Rattus norvegicus: one gene and its partners. The protein of the gene in region 3 purifies or fractionates together with the protein of the main gene of each other region. This does not show direct contact. Links are inferred from orthologs where the notes say so. Each region holds a gene or a part of one and is shown on either strand. Other genes may lie near its edges.

The links.
Region 1: the proteins of Lck (region 3) and Unc119 purify together in Homo sapiens (affinity purification with western blotting; 3 studies listed by BioGRID and IntAct, with this or other methods). This does not show direct contact. The link is inferred for Rattus norvegicus from reciprocal best matches to the Homo sapiens genes LCK and UNC119.
Region 2: the proteins of Lck (region 3) and Khdrbs1 purify together in Homo sapiens (affinity purification with western blotting; 5 studies listed by BioGRID and IntAct, with this or other methods). This does not show direct contact. The link is inferred for Rattus norvegicus from reciprocal best matches to the Homo sapiens genes LCK and KHDRBS1.
Region 4: the proteins of Lck (region 3) and Sh2d2a purify together in Homo sapiens (co-immunoprecipitation; 3 studies listed by IntAct, with this or other methods). This does not show direct contact. The link is inferred for Rattus norvegicus from reciprocal best matches to the Homo sapiens genes LCK and SH2D2A.

The regions. Positions count from the first base shown.
Region 1 is NC_086028.1:63,737,908-63,742,320, reverse strand, and holds the end of Unc119 (protein unc-119 homolog A), read right to left. Parts: intron 2,821-4,413; coding exon 2,707-2,820; intron 2,244-2,706; coding exon 2,141-2,243; intron 1,966-2,140; coding exon 1,793-1,965; intron 1,532-1,792; coding exon 1,419-1,531; 3' UTR 923-1,418; downstream 1-922. UniProt on the Homo sapiens protein: Involved in synaptic functions in photoreceptor cells, the signal transduction in immune cells as a Src family kinase activator, endosome recycling, the uptake of bacteria and endocytosis, protein trafficking in sensory neurons and as lipid-binding chaperone with specificity for a diverse subset of myristoylated proteins.
Region 2 is NC_086023.1:147,369,918-147,375,673, forward strand, and holds the start of Khdrbs1 (KH domain-containing, RNA-binding, signal transduction-associated protein 1), read right to left. Parts: upstream 3,532-5,756; 5' UTR 3,454-3,531; coding exon 3,072-3,453; intron 1-3,071. UniProt on the Homo sapiens protein: Recruited and tyrosine phosphorylated by several receptor systems, for example the T-cell, leptin and insulin receptors. Once phosphorylated, functions as an adapter protein in signal transduction cascades by binding to SH2 and SH3 domain-containing proteins.
Region 3 is NC_086023.1:147,171,231-147,175,306, forward strand, and holds the end of Lck (proto-oncogene tyrosine-protein kinase LCK), read right to left. Parts: intron 2,036-4,076; coding exon 1,833-2,035; 3' UTR 1,412-1,832; downstream 1-1,411. UniProt on the Homo sapiens protein: Non-receptor tyrosine-protein kinase that plays an essential role in the selection and maturation of developing T-cells in the thymus and in the function of mature T-cells. Plays a key role in T-cell antigen receptor (TCR)-linked signal transduction pathways.
Region 4 is NC_086020.1:175,612,622-175,618,193, reverse strand, and holds the end of Sh2d2a (SH2 domain-containing protein 2A), read right to left. Parts: coding exon 5,559-5,572; intron 2,608-5,558; coding exon 2,449-2,607; intron 2,252-2,448; coding exon 1,910-2,251; 3' UTR 1,509-1,909; downstream 1-1,508. UniProt on the Homo sapiens protein: Could be a T-cell-specific adapter protein involved in the control of T-cell activation. May play a role in the CD4-p56-LCK-dependent signal transduction pathway. Could also play an important role in normal and pathological angiogenesis.

The DNA of each region.
Region 1 (4,413 bases), on a different chromosome or scaffold from region 3:
GGAAAAGAGAACCTGCAGCATCAGACTGCTAACCCTAAGCTAGCCTCCTCCTCCTTCAGTTCTTGAATTTCCTCCACTAAAAGAGGGACCTGGGAGGGGTGAGAGGCTAACAGAAATATTATGCACAGGACTGGCCAGACTAGAGGGGGCTGCAAGGCAGCTAAGTGCAGGGAGATGGCGCTAGGGCTAGCCAAAGTCCTGCCCTTCTCTGATGAGGGCACTTAGGAGTGGCCTCTGGGGGTCAGAGGAAGTGGAAAACAAAGCCACCTCCCTGTATCTCTTCCTTCCCCATCCTGAGCTGATGGTCTTTGCTCCAGTGTCTGCTGTCAAGTCATTACCTTTATACCAAAGACCCTGGGTCTCCATCACAGGAGGAATCCTAGCTTGAACCACACCCTAAATACTCACTTAGATGTTGAGAATCTGAGGCCAGGGAAGACCCCCTGGCCAGAAGGCACTGGGAAGTGAGGGTTCTTATTCTCTTGATCAGTGTGGTTGGATATAAACACTCCCCTCAAAGGCTTAGGTCCCCAGCTAGTGGCGATATCGAGTGATCGTAAGGGCCTAGATGGGGGAGATGGACCGAATGTTTGCAAGGGGTATCCTGTTCTGACCTTATTCTTGGTATATTGTGCTCTCTCACTCTGTCTGTCTCTCTCTCTCTGCTTCTGCTCCCAGGTGAGCAGTTCTGCCCCAGCCCACTTTTCCCCTACCATGTCGCTCTCCCTCACCAGAGGGTCCCCAGTGACAGGGCCATGTGGCAGCCATGGACTGAAACCTCTGAACTGAAAGTAAATCTTACCTCTTCTAAGTTGATTTTCTCGTGTACTTTTGTCATGATAAAAAGCAACGAACACGAACCCCTCCTACTCCACTCCACCCCTGCCTTTCCCTATAGACACACAGGCTGGCCACACCCAAGAACAGAAAAGGTTTATTGAAAACTATATACAGTTTGTCCAGGTCCTACAGGTTGCAATCTGGACCCACCCCGCTCACACCTCGGGCAGTTTCTTGGCCCCTGATGGAGGAGGCCAGGACTGAGACCAGGGTACCCAATGTGGATCTTTGTCTGTGAACTATAAACACCCTGGAGGTGGTGGGCAAGGGACAGGGAACGGATCCCTAACCTGATCTAGTCACAGTCAAGAAGGGAACACTACTCTGAAACTCAGGCCCAGTGGACCTAGTGAGGCATCCGGAAGTCCTCCTCTTGCAGGAGGCCTTCCTGAACATGGGGACAGTCTCCCGAGCTGTCCCTCCCACAAGCTTCAGAGGCTTGCCTAGGGATGCTGGGGAACCTTCCTCTCAAGACTGACTCAGGGTCCAGAGCCACTGGAACCATCCCCAAATAGAGACAGTGTTGGAGAGGTCACAGCACAGGGTCCAGGCCAGAGCCTCAGGGGCAGTGTTGGAGGTCAGGGGGTCCCGCTGTAGGAATAGTCTGCCTTGTTGTGCATCACCAGCCGATCATCCACGAAGTAGAAGCTGTCAGACTGTGTCTCATACGGATGACGAATCATCTCACTGACTGCAAGAGAGGTCCACCCAGGGCAAAGGTCAGGACCCTGAGCCAGACCCTTTGGGACTTTAGAACTGGGAGAGAGGGAGGCAGGGACAGATGAACCACTTCAGAGAGTTCCTCAGCCTCTTTGAGCCTGTTTCCCTCCTGGTGACACAGGAGTGGCGCCAGGTAAGAAAGTGATGCAGGGTAGGTGCACGGGGACCAGATGCACAGGTACCACCCCCCACCTCCCGACACTGAGCCTGGGTTCTCCACATCTCCACTCACTTAGCTCCTCGGAGAGAGGCGGGAAGTCATAGATGTGCTCACAGGTGTTCTTGCTGCTGGGAATGCAGAAGCCAAAGTGGAAGTCGAAGCTTTTGAGGAGCTGGTTTCGAAAGTAGTGCCTCTCAATCATGCGGAAGTTGTTGACCGGCTTGTCTCCCACTGTGAACTCCACCCTGAGTTAAGAGAAGCGGGCAAAGCTGAGTAGCTTCCACACCAACCATCCAGCCAGCCAGCCAAGGGACTCCAGGCTCCAAGGCTCCAGGCAGACTGCCACCGAGAGGCTCTGGAAGGGGGCTGTTCCCACCCTCACACTCGCCCCCCAGCCCTCACCCCAGCCCAGTGACTCACGTGGCTCCCACCTGCCTTAGGCGGAGGAAGGCAGGTGTGAACTGGTATCGAACAAAGCGCCCTGCATTGGGGTCCAGGTCCCGCCGGTTGATGGGCAACCGTTCTGTAATGTACCCCAGCTGGGCTCAGTGGGCTTCAGGCTGGGGCCTTTGCCTACTCCACCCTCCCCCAAGGACCTCTGTTCAAACGTTTCTAAACTCTTCAGGAGATTCTGGTACACTTTTGTTGAAGAGTGGTACCTACAGGGTTCTAGATCAACAAGTCACCAGTGTTCAGGGGTTCCCAGAGCCATAGGGTGTGCATAGGATTATGGGAGGACTTAGGGGCTGCAGTTCCTAGGGAGGCCAGCAGAGGACAGGCTGACCAGTACTTAAACAGGGCAATGCTCCCAATATGTCCACCCTGAGAAACAGTGGCAGAAAAAAGAAGAGGCCTGTCTGCCCACAGACACCTGAGTGTGCTGAAGTTCAAGTCTGGACTGTGCTCTGTGGCTCAAAGAACCTAGACAGCCCGCTCCACTGTGCTTGCCCACCTTTTCCTCTCAATGGTGCTCCAATCCCACTCACCGGAAACAGGGGGCTTCTTGATTTCAAAAAGAACAGTCCCTGAGTCCATGTCCCGGATCTTGAACCTGACGAAGTCAATCTTGTAGATATTTTCCTCAGGGGAGCACAGGTAGTCTATGGGAGACAGGCAGCTGAGCAAACAGGGACCCCAAAACACCCACTGTGGATTCAGTTTTGGTGGGCCCCTGTCTTGGAGAAGCCCCCACAGTGCAGGGGACAGAATTTTGTTATAGTCAAGGATGAACAGGGACGATCCTAGTGGCCTCAGAGGCAAGGCAAGTCACCTCCACCATACCGACCCTCCCACCCTCTTGGCAATCCTTATTTCAACCTCGGCTTTGCAAGGTTGGCATGCATCCTTCGGACAACTGGACCTCCTGCCTAGTGGAAGCTTCCAGCATGAGGGGGACTTCACTCCAAAGGGAGCATGCAGCTCTCGGGGGAGGAGAGTTACAGTTCTTCCTGGGCGTGCGCCCCACCCTCACCACACACAACCCTGGGGCGTGACATCTAGGTGTCAGGCAAGGCTGATTTGAGGGGAACTTTCCCTTGCATGGGCTGTATCGGGGCAGGCTGGTACCCTTCCCTGCTGCCCCGCCCCGCCCCTCCCCCACTGTAAGCAGCTTACACTAACCCAGCTCTCTTAAGCAGCTTATAGGGCTCTGCGTACTCAGGCAAGGAAGCCCTGGGACACAAGGGGCCTGCGCTGCCCCACAGATCCTCGGCTGATCTCCCGATGGGAGGAAGTCTTAGCAAACAGAGGGAACCCTTAGAGGTCATCTTTCCAGCCCTGGCCCTGAGCCAACCTCAGGAATAAAGTGCTCTCTGGTTTAGAGAAAAGAACACAGAAAGGATGCGGTGGGCACAGCAGGTGCCACAGGGATGAGGCAAGGAGAGTCCTGGGCTCAGAAGGAAGCCAGGAGAGCTAAGCGTTGCCTAAGGGAGTTAGTTCATGGTCTAACCCTTACCACTCTTTTGTCACCGTTTTTTTTTTAAGCCAGGGTTCCATGTCGCCTAGCTAACCTCAAACTCACTACTCGGCAGATGCTGGCCTTGAACTCCCGGTCTTCCTGCTTCATAAAACTTACACCAAGTCCTAGGGGGAGGCCCTGGCAAGAAGTAGGAAGGTACAGAAGAAGGCTGTGGAGGCTTGGGTGCTGCCAGCCTCCACTGTGTACCACATCCTCCCCGCTGACCTTCAGAGGCCCGGAAGTCACCCTCCAGGCCCCTGGGCCACCCCCTATTCCTCTGTGGTTGAAAAAGGAAGTGAATATAAAGCCATTTTCTCTTCCTTAGGCCTGTCTCCTCCTCAAGCCAGGGGGGGAGCCCCCTCCAGGAAGCCCTCCTGACAGCGCCTCTAGCACCTTGGAGCTGAGGTCTGAGATAAAGCTATAAAAAGACGCTGCAGAGCAAAAGGAGAAGAGGGGGCAGAATTGGAAGCAGGATCCTAGTCGTCCAACTCCCAGGAAAAGCTGCCTTTCTCACTGCAGGCCCAGCCTAGGACCCTCTCCTCTCACCCGGAACAACCTCTCACACTCAGTCTCTTACACTGCAAACTCAACTTGTGGGACTCTCTGTCCTTACAAGGAGCGAGGATCAGGGGCTGCCTAGGAAGGCAGCCACTTCCTCTCCTCAGCCAAGAAAAACCAGGCCCAGGACCCAAGGTCAGGCCAGAGTAGTTGAGCAGCGGTGGCTCAGAACCCACCT
Region 2 (5,756 bases), about 200 kb from region 3:
GTATAATGAGGGAGCAAGGAAGAACCTTTTAGCTATTGGAGGGAAAAAGGAGTTAAGTGTGTGAACCAAATGTAGATTGACTGTAAGTCCTGTTGATGTTGCTAATTTTGTTGTTTAGTCAACTATCATGTTTGCCTTTTATCTCCTCATCTGTACTGGTAATAGGATTGTCTTCTCAGCCATCCAGAGGCAGGTAGCTCTAAGTTTGAGGACAGCCTAGTCTACATAGTTAGACCCTAGCTCAAAAACAAACAAAAAACCAAAACAATAAAAAACAACAAAAATAAAAACTGGGGCCTGGAAGATGGCTCAGCAGTTAAGAGCACTGGCTGTTCTTCCAAAGGACCTGGGTTCAATTCCCAGCACCCAGATGGTAGCTCACAGTGGTCTATTAACTCCACACCCAGGGGATCTGAAAACCTCACAGTCAGACATACAGGCAAAATACCCATGCACATAGAAATTAATAAAGAAAAATTTAAAAATATAAATAAGGCAAAAGCAAAAAAGACCCAACTTTAAAAATTAAAGTGTTTTCTCTTAGTAACCACACTGAAGTTAAACCTGTGACTGCAGAGCTAAAAGAAACATTTAAAAACAATATTTAAGGGGCTGGGGATTTAGCTCAGTGGTAGAGCGCTTACCTAGGAAGCGCAAGGCCCTGGGTTCGGTCCCCAGCTCCGAAAAAAAGAACCAAAAAAAAAAAAAAAAAAAAATTTAAAAAAAAAAAAACCCTGTTGAAAAAAGAATGATCACCTGCACTTGAAGTCAGAAAGGCCAAACTATGCCCTGTGTATATAGGAATTTATAAGCAGAAGAAAACGATGGTGACATTTTGTTTGGTGAGTACAGGTCAGAGGTAACTGGCTGATTTTACACACAACCTAGATCTCACACTCACCACTGCACAGATGACACTGCAGAGTTAGTTTCTCAGGACCAAGTAACTAGTTAACAGTCAGTTTCCAAAGTTAACATCTTCGACCTGATATAACTCTTTAGCAATTAACCTGACAGGTTATAAAGATTTGAGGAAATAAAAATAAGACTACCAAGTCAACCTTTCATAGTGATATTCTTCAGTCGGCAGGCACTTATCAAAGTCAATCAAACACAGGTGTTTGCTATTTGCAAGCCGGTATAAAAAAATATAAAAGATAATGGCCTGAAAATGTAGATAAGTTAGTAGAGTACTAAGCCTGATCCTAGGCACTGCACAAACTGAATGTGGTGGGGCACACCTCCCAAACCCTGGAGGAAAAGGACCACAAGTTCCAGGTCACAAAGGGCTATATATAAATGTAGATATATGTAAATACCCAGCCTCAGCTACTTGAGACCTGCCTCATTTAAAAAAAAAAGGGGGGGGGGTTAAAAATCCTTACAGTAACTAAGTTGTCAGAACAAAAGAACAAAAACATAAGAACCTGCGTGTTACAGAATGAAGGTCCTGAGCTGAAATGCAAACAATTGATGTTTCTATTTACTGACCACAAGTTTGGTTTACTGTGCTTCAAAGGTCCTCACTTATTTTTCCATTTGACTGGAAAGAAAAGCAGGTCTTTAAAGTCATTGTCCATCCACGACCTTTTTGCATTGTACAAACGGTAAAGCCCCTTCAACAACGCTGGGAGACAGAGAACAGATGAAGGAAAATGGTATTTTCCTTTTATTTCTTTTCGGATTTGTATTTTGAGTGCCTCTGTAGGACAAAAGAGAACATCAGTCCCCCAGTGCTGAAGTTACAGGTGTCTGAGAGCCACCTGATGTGGGCGCTGGGAACTGAACCCCTGTGGAAGAGCAGAAAGTGCTATTAACCGCTGATCCACCTCTCCATTAGATAATGGTATTTTCACAATGACCTGTCCACAGTACCATTCTGGCCAGAGTCTGTCAATCTCTCAGACGGTCTTTGATGAAATAACTTTATTCCTCGTGGATAGGGTCGAATATATATTTTGGAGTGGGTTGGGGTCTAAAAGCAGACGCTTTCTATTGGCTTGGACTGAGAGGTTAGACTCTCCATGGGGTGTCTTGGTCAAGTGTTACCAAGGTCCAGGACAGTTACCAGGTCAAGAGTGGGTTTCTGAATCCGCTCAACCTCTCCAGTTTTTGTCTGGTAACAAGGTTCCATCTGCCCCACAAAACTCCAACTATTCAATCAGTGAGACAGACTGTGATATCTAAAATTTAGATATCATAAAAAAATACTTACTAAAAACCATGTCTAACTACAAGTGAGGGTCCAATAGGCGGTTTGAATAAGAAAAATGTCTAAGTCGCTCAAGTCAAGAGAAGAGGGCTCACTAGTCTACAAGCAGAGAACAAAGGCTACCATTCTTAAACTATCTCTACTCAAGCAAGAACTAAAACAAAAAGACTAATTTCTCGTTCATCTCCCGCAAAAGAACCTGCCGTCCCTTACCTCCATCATTTCCCCATTTGCATAACTTCAAAAACACATTTTAAAATAAAGGAGAGAAAACCATCCGGGTCTGTAGCAATTCTTATTCGACAGGCCGAAACGGAAAACTTTGCTTGAGAAAACCTCAAGCTCCGGGATTCTCTGGTCGCCCCGACCTCTGATGAACTTAAACCCGAGTTCCCGCTAAATCCCGCAGCACCGCTCCGTAGAGGCGCCGCGCGGGACCGGCATTCCGGCAGTTTTTACCTTTACAACCCAGGTCAAGGCACTCTCCACCACCCGCGACCCCGCCTCCCCAAATTGTTTTCTCTTTGGGAAAGCTGGGAGAAGTAGGTTCATTTCTGGTAAGAGCTGGTCCTTGGCGCGCGGGGCAACTACTACCGGAGGAGAAGGGGGCGGGAGCACGGTACTATCCATCAACCTCTCCGCGCTCGGAGATCGCGAGTCCTCTTCGGGCCTCGACCGCGGTTCCGAAACCTCCCCTTATACCCTGATCCGGGGTGGGACTGAGGGTGCAGAATCTCTAAGGCTAGGTCGAGATGAGCACTCTCGATGCCTGGGCTCCGAGGGGGCGGGAGCAAGAACAAAGCGGCGGCCACCCACCGCCGGTACCGGGAGACCCCAAAGTACGCCAAGACCCGCTTACCTACGGACAGCAGCTGCATGGCGTGAGTGAAGGACGGGTCGAGCGAGTCCTTCTCAGCCATGAGTTCAGGCAGGTACTTATTCTCCGGCTCCATCTTGGCCGCGGCTGTGGCTGACGGGGGCAGTAGCGGGGTCGGCGCGGAACCCACCACAGTCGCGTCGGGACCCGGATTAGAGGGAGGCAGCAGCGGCGGCGGCTGCGTAGCGGGCGAGGCCCGAGCGCCTCCTCTGGGCCCACCTCCGCCTCCCCGGGACCGGTGAGGAAGCGGCGACGGCCGAGACGGGGTCAGACGCACCGAGGGGTGGGCACCTGACGGGTCCTTGGAGCAGCTGCGGCCCGAGGACCGGGTGAGGCGCGCGGCAGGGTCGTCCCGGCGCTGCATCAGGAATGATGTGTGGCGAGCGAGCGAGGAAGCGACGCGACGGCGCTGAGGCCCGAGCGGCGGTTGGCGGGGGTGGAAGAACGGGAGCGACAGCGACCGAAGCCGACCCGAGCGACCCAGCGAGAGAGCACCGGAAATGAGGCGGCGCGCGTGCGCAGGCGCCTACCGGCACCGCCCTTGAGTTTCTCCGCGGAGAACAAAGTCCCCAGTTGGGCCACGACGCCTGCGCCGACTGAAGACGTAGCCTCCCCACTCAGGCTCCGAGTTTATTGCGCCTGCGCAGACGCCGGCCGCCTTCGTTCGTTTCTTTTCCTTTTCCACGTGACCCGGCGCTAGCGGTACACGTGTCTCCCCTCCCCCTCCCTCGGGCGGAGTGCGCGGAGGGGGCGGGCGCCGTGGAATGTCTTTGTCTGCGCTCGGGCCCGCGGAGTGTGCGGCAGGAGACCTGTTATTCGTGGGCCACGCCTCCTTCAACGGCCGAGCCTGGGGAGGTCCCGGGGGAACGGTGCTGCTGTGTGGTTCGGGGGCCGCCTCTCCAGCAAGGAAATGAAAGGAACGCTTCTGGAGAGAGGGGAACGCGAGGATTAGAGCAAAGCGAGGCCGAAAGAGAGGGAAAGACTGCGCGAACGGGATGGGAAGATGGGGATGCTGGGAGAGGCTGACCCCGGGTGGGTGTGAGAAAGGGAAGCCAGGAATGGGAAATAGAAGACTAAATGCTATGTATTGCAGAACTGAAACTCAGAAGGGGTCAGTCAGAGACGCAAACAACGGAAAAAAAGGGCTCCCTCCATTCCCAAGTAGAGCATCCAGGAAGTCAGACACCAAGATTTCTATTAGAGCAGGTTCAAATTTGGTGAGAGAATTATTAAAAGATACATTTGGGGCCAGAACAACTGGCAATACTGTTTGTCACCTGTTTGGTTGGAGTCCCCAGCTCCCCTACCCCCAGTAAATTCCAATTTTCTCTCTCTCTCCCTCCAACCCCGCCCACTTAGAAAGCCTCAGAACAGAAAAAGGCGCCAAAAAACCCAGTCCCGAATTCTTGACTGTCCTAATCCACCTCATCTGAAGTCACCAGCTACCCAAATCTCTCCCTCTCCCTTGATGACCCCAGCCCAGCCTGTGGTAGACACATCATTTTTATTGCCTACACTCTTATTGAAAACTTACCAGCCATAGTCTGCCCCTGATTTATTCCGGTACTCTGAGGCTGGTGGTCTCGCCTGGGAGCCCATTCCCAAATAAACATGCCTTTTTTATTTTTTTAATTCGTCTTGAATTGACTTAGTTCATTGGGGGAAAAACTATCATCAACCTGAGTTCTATCCCCTGGCCCAAAATAGGAGAGAACCAATTCTCCCAAGTTTTGACCTCTACATGCACATAGTGGCCTTCACGTCTACCCCTACTAAGGGAATGAGGTGGTTATCCTTCATAGTGTTCTGAGGAGGGAGAGCCACAGAATTACCTCAAGTTTGAGACAAGTCTGGCCTACATACACAGCTCCAGGCCACCTAGGATATCGAAGGGACACCCTGTCCCCCAAAAGCAAACTAAGAAGCTTCTCAGGTCGCTGGCATACACACAGTCCTAGCACGGGTTAGACTGAAGCATTCTGTTGCCACCTTCCGTTTATTCTGTAAAACAGTGAGTACGGGCCCAGTCTTAGACCATGTTGGCTGTCTAGTTCTCAGAGCTCCTACTACTGGTATGAATGCTAGTCTTTCACTACGGATCCTATTGCCCTCTCTCAAAAAGACAAACGCGTTTTCTTCCCTTAACATTTTCACCGTAGAGTCCTGGCTGTCCCAGGACTCACTCTGAAACCCCAGGGTAGCTTTCAACTCACAGCAATTCAGTCTTAATCTTCAGAATGCTGGAACAACAGGACACAAATCACCATGAGACAGACACTACTGCTCTAATACCTCACAGTCTCCAGGGTATTCCCTTCATCCTGGGGTGATGTATGCAGATGGAGCCCAAATCTCTCCCATGAACAGTCTGAGGCAGAGACGTCAAGATGGCTAAGCTGCTTAGACTGTTGTCAGGCCTGATGATCTGAGTCAATCTCCAAGACCACATGCTGGGAGGAGAAAACTGACTCTCAAAAGCTGTCCCCTGATCTATGCGTGTGTGCCATGGAACAATACACACATGTGCACAGACAAAAAATTAAGATCTAAGCAAAACTTTAAAAAATATCTATTAACAGGGCTGGAGAGATGGCTCAGTGGTTAAGGGCACCGACTGCTCTTCCAGAGGACCTGAGTTCAATTCCCAGCAACCACATGGTGGCTCAC
Region 3 (4,076 bases):
CACACACACACACACACACACACACACACACACACACACACCACATTTTTTAAAAAATGAAATGGTAGTTTAGAGCTATGGCTCAGCTGTTAGGAGCATGGCTGCTCTCACGGAAGACCATTCCCAGCATCTCCATGGTGGCACACAACCACCCCTCACTCCATTTCTGACATCCGATTCTGAATTCTGACCTCTGAGGGCACTAGACATGCACATGGTACGCAGACATATTTGCAGGCAAAACGTTTACAGACACAAAAATAAATCCACAAAGAGAGTTAACCCTTATCTCAAGCGCTGTCTTTGTCTGGTCCACAAACTGTTTCTCTGTATAGATTTTTTTTTTCTCCGCTGGTGTCTGAGACACGGCTTTTCCATGTAATCCTGGCTGTCCTAAAACTTGTGCTGTAGACCAGGATGGTGTCAAACTTAGAAATCTCTTCCTTAGGGGTTGGGGATTTAGCTCAGTGGTAGAGCGCTTACCTAGGAAGCACAAGGCCCTCGGTTCGGTCCCCAGCTCCGAAAAAAAGAACCAAAAAAAAAAAAAAAAAAAAAAGAAATCTCTTCCGGGTTCGTTGTTGTTGTTGTTTTGTTTTTGTTTTTGTTTTTGTCGCTGACACCAAAGAATGCTACTAATAAGCTAAAAAGTTATGATTATAAAACTCATGCTCTGTTATCTCAATGTTCCGAAATCCTCCCGTTCCCTACCCATCGACCCCCCTCCCTTACCTTACTCAGGACCAATCAGCTTAAAGGTTAGCTGATAAGACTTTGCCTAGGAAACCAACTGTTTCTCCTTGCCCTTTAAACTTTTTTTTTAAATTTTTTTTAAATTTTTTTATTCATTTATCATATATAAGTACACTGTAGCTGTCTTCAGACACACCAGAAGAGGGCATCGGATCTCTTTACAGATGGTTGTGAGCCACCATGTGGTTGCTGGGAATTGAACTCAGGACCTCGAGAAGAGTAGTCGGGTGCTCTTAACCGCTGAGCCATCTCTCCAGCCCCCTTTAAACTTTTGAACCTGGTTTTTTCCTATAAAAAGTCTACTCTGAGAGCAGACTAGTGTCACAATTATGTTTTTCCCTCTTGAGGACCTGGACATCCAGTATTATGGTATGCACTCAATAAACTATTCTTGTTTAACTCCGGTGGTGTGCATGGTATGTGTAGGGACTCCCCAGTCTCCGGGGGGTTGACTCCCAACCACCAGGGCTTCACACCATGTTTTACATGGTAATGGTGCTTCCCTTGTTCAGTGGAGACACACTTACATTACAGGAGAAACAGCCTGTAGCGATCACAGCAAGAGAACCTAGGCCAGGTGGTCCACCAGCAACCCCAGTCTCTCTCATCCGACCCCCCCACTATCTGCCACAAAGAAATGAAGTGTGCGGTAGAAAACTGTACAGCCTTAATTGAACAGACTTTTATTGAGCTCCTGGTGTGTGGTACCACCAAGGCACAGCACACAGAGACATTAGATTGGATGGCAGCCCACAAGGAGGGCCTTCCTGGAGGCCCCCAGAAAGGCAGTGGTAGACAGACACATGCAGCAATCACAAGCCTTCTCCTCTCTGTGGTTTCAGAAAATGGAATGGAAAGAGACACCTTAGGTGGTCTCTAAGACTTAGACTCACATGTTCCATGGGTATAAGGCACATGTGTAGAACCCACATAACTACGGATGTGTGTATGAGACAAAAACGGCTATGTATGGCACACGCACAGGCTTCACGTGCCGAGTCGGAGTCCACGTGTGCACAGGCCGCATGGATAGGGCACAAGAACTCCAGAGGGATAGGGGAGGATCTTGGGACCGCAAGGCCTCAAGGCTGGGGCTGGTACTGGCCCTCTGTGGCTGTGAAGAAGTCATCCAGAACGCTCCGAAGGTAGTCAAACGTGGGCCTGTCCTCTGGGCGCTCCTTCCAGCACAGCATCATGAGGTGGTACAGCTCTTCCGGGCAGTTGTCAGGTCGCACCATTCGGTAGCCTTTTTCCAGGTTCTGAATGACTTCAGGGTTGGTCATTCCTGGAAGGCAGACGGAACCTCAGCCTCTAAGCTTTGGAAACCTAAGAGCAAAGCTAATGCTAAACTGGATTTTTCTCTTTTCTTTCTTTCTTTCTCTCTTTTTTTTCTGTTGTTGTTTGTTTGTTTGTTTGTTTGTTTTTGAGACAGGGTTTCTCTGTGTGGCTCTGGCTATCTTGGAACTCACTCTGTAGACCAGGCTGGCCTCAAACTTATAGAGACCCTGCCTCAGCCTCCCAATGCTAGGATTAAAGAAATGTACCACCACAGCTGGCTTGCTCTGTCTGTCTGTCTATCTGCTTGTCTGTCTGTCTGTCTATCTATCTATCTATCTATCTATCTATCTATCTATCTATCTATCATCTACTTCTATAGTACTTGGAATTGAACACAGGACCTCACACACATTAAATGGGCACTCCATTATTGAGCTACAACCCCAGCCTACAGCTTGGATGTTGAATGTCTCCCCACGTGCTGTAAGCCTGGCCCCAATTCACGGCATTAGTGGGAGATTGTAGAACCTTTAAGAAATGGGATCCAAGGTGCTAGAGAGATGGCTCAGTGGTTAAGAGCACTGACTGCTCGGGCTGGAGAGATTGCTCAGTGGTTAAGAGCCCTGACTGCTCTTTCAGAGGTCCTGAGTTCAATTCCCAGCAACCACATGGTGGCTCACAACCATCTGTAATGAGATCTGGTGTGTCTGAAGACAGCTACAGTGTACTCGTATACATTAAATAAATAAATAAATAAATAAATAAATAAATAAATAAATCTTTAAGAGCACTGACTGCTCTTCCACAGGTCCTAAGTTCAAATCCCAGCAACCACATGGTGGCTCACAACCATCTGTAATGGGATCTGATGCCCTCTTCTGGTGTTTCTGAAGACAGTGTTCTCATATACATAAGTAAGTCTTAAGAAAGAAAGGAAGGAAGAAAGAAAGAAAGAAAGAAAGAAAGAAAGAAAGAAAGAAAGAAAGGGGGTCAAGATGGGAGTAGTGCCATCACTCAGAGGTAAAGAATCTTTGTGAGTTTGAGGCCAGCCTAGTCTACAGAGTTCTAAGACAGCCAGAATTCTACAGAGAAACAGTGTCTCAAGAAATCAAAAACAGGGTTGGGGATTTAGCTCAGTGGTAGAGCTCTTGCCTAGCAAGTGCAAGGCCCTGGGTTCAGTCCCCAGCTCCGAAAAAAAAAAAAAAAATCAAAAACAACAGTTAAAAAAAAAAGATTTGCCTGCCTCTGCCTCCCAAATTCTGGGATTAAAGGATGTACCAACACGCTCAGCAAACTTCTTTTAAAAAAATATTCTTGGGGTTGGGGATTTAGCTCAGTGGTAGAGCGCTTGCCTAGGAAGCACAAGGCCCTGGGTTCGGTCCCCAGCTCCGAAAAAAAGAACCAAAAAAAAAAAATATTCTTGGGCTGGAGAGATGGCTCAGCGGTTAAGAGCACTGACTGCTCTTCCAGAGGTCCTGAGTTCAATTCCCAGCAACCACATGGTGGCTCACAACCATCTGTAATGGGATCTGATGCCCTTTCTTGTGTGTCTGAAGAAAGCTATAGTATACTCACATACACAAAATAAATAATAATAATAAAAAGAAGGTCCTCTTAAAAAATAAAATAAATGGGTTGGGGATTTAGTTCAGTGGTAGAACACTTGCCTAGCAAGCGCAAGGCCCTGGGTTCGGTCCCCAGCTCCGAAAAAAAGAATAAAAAAATAAATAAAATATATTACATTTACTTAATTGTTATTAATTTCGTGTAGGATGTGAAGGAGCCTACACATGAGCCAAAGCACATATGTGGAGGTCAGAGAACAACTTTTTTTTTTCCTATGACCTTGCGCTTGCTAGGCAAGCGCTCTACCACTGAGCTAAATCCCCAACCCCAGAGAACAACTTTTTAAAAATGATTTTTTTAAGTATTTTATTTTATTGGTGTGTGGGGGGGGTTGAAACAGGGTTTCTCTGTGTATCCCTGGCTGTCCTGGAACTCTGTAAAGCAGGTTGCCTTTAAACTCAGATTCACCTGCCTCTCTGCCT
Region 4 (5,572 bases), on a different chromosome or scaffold from region 3:
TATCCTTCCAGTGCCGCACGCTAGGCAGCCGAGACCAATGGATTGGAGTTGGCATTCGGGATGACACCTCCTTGTTGCAGATGAAGGAGCTTTGCTCACCTGGAGTCTATTCCACCTGCCTTCCCTAAGAAAGGACCCAGGGCTCTGTGAAGGTCTTAGGACACAAAACGCCCCAAGTTACCCTCCCGGATCAGACTTACCACCTACGGAGGCCTGAGGGGAGCCATGCATGCTCTCTGTCCTGAAGCGCCTATCTAGAAGTGCATGCCTCTAGGGGATGAGGAAGGAGAGGGCCACCATGCTCTGCCACACGCTCCTCAGAATGCAGCTCTGGACAGTCTGTCCTCCCTGGGTCTGTTCATGGGCCAGGTCTATGGTCTCTAGAAGGTCTTAACCCTTTGGCCTCCAGTGGGGGTTTAGGTTTCCATCCATTCCTCCGTCTCTCCTCTTCTCCTCCCCCTCCCTTCCTGTGGCAGCTTCATGTCAAGCATTTGGGCCAGTACTTTGGACATAGCTGAGTATCCCCAGGCCTGTGTCCAGGACATCATGCTCAGTAGGAAGGGGAGAGAGAAGAAATAAAGAATAATGGGCCAGTGGCCCGCCGGGGTGTCAGGAAGAGCTGGAGGGCTGCCTCAGAAAGCCCATTTTTGCTTTCTCAGGGAAGAATGGGTCAGAACTGACAAGCCTGGTGCTAGGAGAGCAGTTAAGCCACTCTTAGAGAAATTGGGGTGTGGCTCAGACAATAAAGTGCTTGCCTAGCATGTACCAAGCCCCAGTCTTGATCGCACACGCTGTATGGGCTGCCTGGTGGTACACAGCTGTAATCCCAGAACTCAGGAGGAAGAGGCAAAAGGGTCAGAAGTTCAAGGTCCTCAGCAGCTTCACAGTAAGGTGGGAGCCAGCCTGGGCTGCAAGAGACCTTGCCAGGTGTGTTGAGCACCCCAGCATTCTTTGGGAGGCTGAATCAAGCAGATACCTACAAAGGCTAAGTCACCCTTGTCTATACCACAGTGACTTCTAGGAGACTACGGCTGCACAGTGAGGCCAAGTCTCAAAAATGACAACAACAACCAAAAAAACCCATTGTTCTTAGAAAAGTCTTGATGAGAAGATGGCAGGGACTAGAATGGGTCGGGGGAGAAGGCAGACGTTATTGACCTACAGAGATTGAAGTAAAGAGGATGGAGATGTTTAGGGACCTTACATTTCTGGCTGGATAGCTGGGTGCTGGGAGCTAATCAGTCAGGGTATGGGACACAGGTGGACAGTGTGGTGTGTGTGTGTGTGTGTGTGTGTGTGTGTGTGTGTGTGTGTGTGTGTGTGTAGGGTGGGAGTGAGATTGGCTGAATCAATGTTCGAGTGGCTTTGGAACCCTGGCAAAGCCTGGATGAACCCAGGGTTAAGAGGGCAGGAGCTGGCATGGCACAGGTGAACTGAGCTGGCGAAGGCCCAGCAGGGGTCTTTGGTGGCAGCAGAAAGGAAGGCTGAGGAAGAACCTGAGGCAGGTACAGGGGCAAGAGTCCAACTCATTTAATATTAATACCACATTCAGACATGAAACTATCTGTGGGGGAAACTGTGAGGGCAAGCACACAATGGGTGGCCTCCTCCTCTGAGCCCACTGGTGGCAATGCATGGGCTCCTAAGCGCTCTTCTCCGAGGAACTGGATCAGTGCCACATGTATCTGAGGAAGGCCTGACTGACAAGAGGCAGCCTGGGATGGAGAAAGGTTGAAGGAAACCCATCACCTTTAATGTTCTCAGGAGTAGGGGCAGGTAGAGCTTGACAAAGCTGAGTCCATGTGCATGTCCAGGAACAACCTCAGGCCTGGGGCTGGGCAAAGGTTTTCAGTAGCATGGTCCATTCCATTTTGGTTCAGCCTGCTTCTTCCTTCGCCTTGCCTGCCGTTCAGGAGGGGCTCCCTCTTCCTGCTGGCCTTCTTGAGCTTTTCTTTCCCTGTACCCCCTTTCCCTGGCCTCCTGAGATAGGCCTGGACCAGCACTTATGGAGGGTGGGGTGCCCAATGGGTAGCATTTCCCGTGGGCCATCCACCTCAGCATAGATATTACTAGGAGCATCCCCAGGGCTGCCCCGCCCCATGGCATAGAAGGCTATGGGTTCATCAGGCTCCTGGTAGACGGGGTTAATGGGTAGGGCCTGATGAGGTCGTGGAGCAGGACTTGTGTAGACTTCAAGAGGTAGCTGAGGCTTGGCAGGAATGGGGGGCCTGGGTCTGGATGCCTGGGAAGTCTAGGGAAAAAGGCAAGGCCAGGGAAGAGAATTAATGAGAACTGTGGAGACAGGGTCTAAGCCCAGGCCTATCACAGCCTGAGCCTCTACCCATGAGAGCCTTCCCTTCCTGACCTCTCCCTCCGTCCTGTGTTCCCTCTCCATGCCCTGACACTCCCCCCCCCCCCATCCCCAGGCTGACTTGATCAATACAGTACCTTCTTCTGTTGGGAGGCCCTCACTTTCTCTTTATGTCCTGGGGCCTGGGCATGGGCCTGCCCCTGTTGGATGAACAGGCTGTGCTGGGTGTCTGGGTCCTGTCTTCTGCTTCCAGAGTCTGATTCACCCCTTAGGGAAAGACCGGCAGGCTCAGCTGTCTGCAGGAAAAGAAGGAGGATGCAGGGTTGGGGCGGTTGGCGACAAGCGATCCAGGAAAAGCAATTAGGTCTGAGAGGGTGGGGGAGACAGTGTGTGTGTGTGTGTGTGTGTGTGTGTGTGTGTGTGTGTGTGTGTGTGTGTGTTGTGTGTGTGGTGTGTGTATGTGTGTGTGGCGTGTGTGTGTGTGGTGTGTGTGGTGTGTGTGTGTATGTGTGGTGTGTGTGTGTGTGTGGTATGTGTGTGTGGTGTGTGTGTGTGTGGTGTGTGTGTGTGTGTGGTGTGTGTATGTGTGTGTGGTGTGTGTGTGTGTGTGGTGTGTGTGGTGTGTGTGTATGTGTGGTGTGTGTGTGTGGTGTGTGTGTGTGTGGTGTGTGTGTGTGGTGTGTGTGGTGTGTGTGGTGTGTGTGTGTATGTGTGGTGTGTGTGTGTGTGGTGTGTGTGAGTGTGTGTGTGTATGTGTGGTGTGTGTGTGTGGTGTGTGTGTGGTGTGTGTGTGGTGTGTGTGTGGTGTGTGTGTGTGGTATGTGTGTATGTGTGGTGTGTGTGTGGTGTGTGTGTATGTGTGGTGTGTGTGTGGTGTGTGTGTGTGGTGTGTGTGTGTGGTGTGTGTGTGTGTGTGGTGTGTGTGTGTGTGGTGTGTGTGTATGTGTGGTGTGTGTGTGTGTGGTGTGTGTGTGGTGTGTGTGTGTGGTGTGTGTGTGGTGTGTGTGTGTATGGTGTGTGTGTGTGTGTGTGTGTGTGTGGTGTGTGTGGTGTGTGTATGGTGTGTGTGTGTGTTTGTGTGTGTGTGTGTGCCGGGTTCTCTGTGTGATAGAGGGGGTGGGTGTTGAGGGGGCCTGGGAACTGTGGACGGAAGCAAACTCTGTTCACAGGTGTGTCTAACAATGAACCGTCTGGAATGAGGGCCAAGACTGTCTCATCTGTACTTACAGTTGCATAAAATTGGGAGGCTTTAGGCTTTGGGAGTTTTTGCCTCCGGGAACCAACCTCCATAACTGCTGGCCCTTACTTCTTCAGGCTCAAGAAGCTTAATGTATGAAGATAGAAGCTTCGTGTTTGGGGGCAGAGACCACTCAGGAGAGACAAACCTTCCCTTCTAACTGCTCCGTGGTAGTTATGTTTTTAGCACAGCATTAAGGCTAGCCTCACGCAGGGCTCCACATGCCCTCTGCGTCTGGCTTCCTAGATCCAGATGAGAATTCTTTCTCCTGTGTCTACCCTGTATTTCACCTCTCCTTGAGAAAGCAGTAGACTCACCCTGATGCCCGAACAGCAGGGAAGTCAGCGTCAATACCTCACCCTCCTCCTTCATCAAACCCAACACAAGCTGTCCTCTGTCCCCCGACAATGGGTTACATCTTCTCTGAGCCCACATGCAGCCAGCACCACCGTTCAGGTGCACACACATCCCCACTGGTTCCCACTCTCACCATTCTGCAGTCTCTTTGCCCAGTCTCTCTAGCCCATGCCAGGGCTTCCTGCTCAAGAAGGTTCCAGACCTTCAAGTTTGATTGTGCTGGACCTAGTTCCTGTTCTGACCCTTTTTCCAGACTGGATTCAGTCCTACAGATTCCCATTGCCTTTTCCTGTTTTCTCCTGTGGAGCTGGTGACTGAAATTGTAGCCTGGAGCTAGACAAGCCCCTCCAGCTATTTCTGAGCCCGAAGCTTCCTACTTGACAACTCAAACTACAAATATTTCCACACCTGGTTCAGACAGGCTCCTTCATCTAAACGTCTTCCCAGTTCCTTGTTTGTTCTGCAAAGACCCTGTCAACCCTACACTCTAAACAGCCCACAGGCCCTCTCTTACTCCTTCGACTTCCCCTGTGCTAGCCAGGCCCATCAACTTCTGAAACCCTGACGCAACCGCAGTTTCCATCTCGGGTGGCCTTGTTTGGCCCTAACGCCCCTTCACACCCCATTACCCCACTCCCCACACCCCAGAGAGCGGAGGCTCTCTGAAACATTGTAGTCTTCACCTCCTGCAGCCTTGTTGGACCCTCATGACCTTGTCAGGTGAGGCCCTTGCTTCTAACTCATCGATGTAATTAAATCTTATTCAGAATAAAACCTTAGAGCCTTGTAAGAGCCACAGGGCCCCCTTACGTCTCCCTTCTGACCTCACTTCCAACCTCTCTGTCCATCCATCATCCTGATCCTCACTTCTGCTCACAGTGAGGCTGCTTCCTCACTGCTCAGTCCTCAGACACCTCAGACATCCTCCCCCATCAGGGCCTTTGCCCCTGCTGTCACTTCCACGCCAAGTGCTTTTTCTCCAGCTGTCTGCACAGCTCCCTCTGACACCATTCAGGGCTCTGCTCAGATGTCCCTTAGCTTCTCTGCTGTGTCTGTTGTTCTCCTATCCTGTTGTTCTCCATCTCTGCTTGGCTTTCTTCCTAGCACTCACCCTTCCTGTTATCAACGTGTTCTCTGTGTCACTTACGGCATCTGCCTTATCTTAGAATAGATGCCTTGTGAAGGCCAGGAGATAGATATAAATCGCGACTGTTTATTTCCTCCGTGTTTAACCTATTTCTCTCAATACACAGTGGTCTGAAGCGCCTGCACTTTTTGAAGGTCCCTGACGTCTGTCAAGCTAAGTAGGGTCTATCGTAGCCACTGTCTGTCGTTGCTACTGTAGTAAGGTTTGTGAGCGAGATGCCCATCTGTCTTGGCCACAGGTTTATTGACAGAATCTCTCCCTCTCAGCCCTGCTCTGGAGACTAAGTAAACTTTGCTTAATTTAACTTGACTGCCTCTCTGCCTCTCCGTACCCTGTTCTTTGTGGCTGGTCTGGTCGTGAAAGGACACCTTTCTGGAAGAGGTGTGGGTAAGTCAGTGTGGCCGATCGTGGATTGGGATGAGAAAGACAGAGAGGTCAGTAACCTGGACTTGGTAGGGGTGGCGGCGACGATGACATTCAGTTATGGAATTTGGGTAAAGGCTCACCTGGCGAGCAAGGG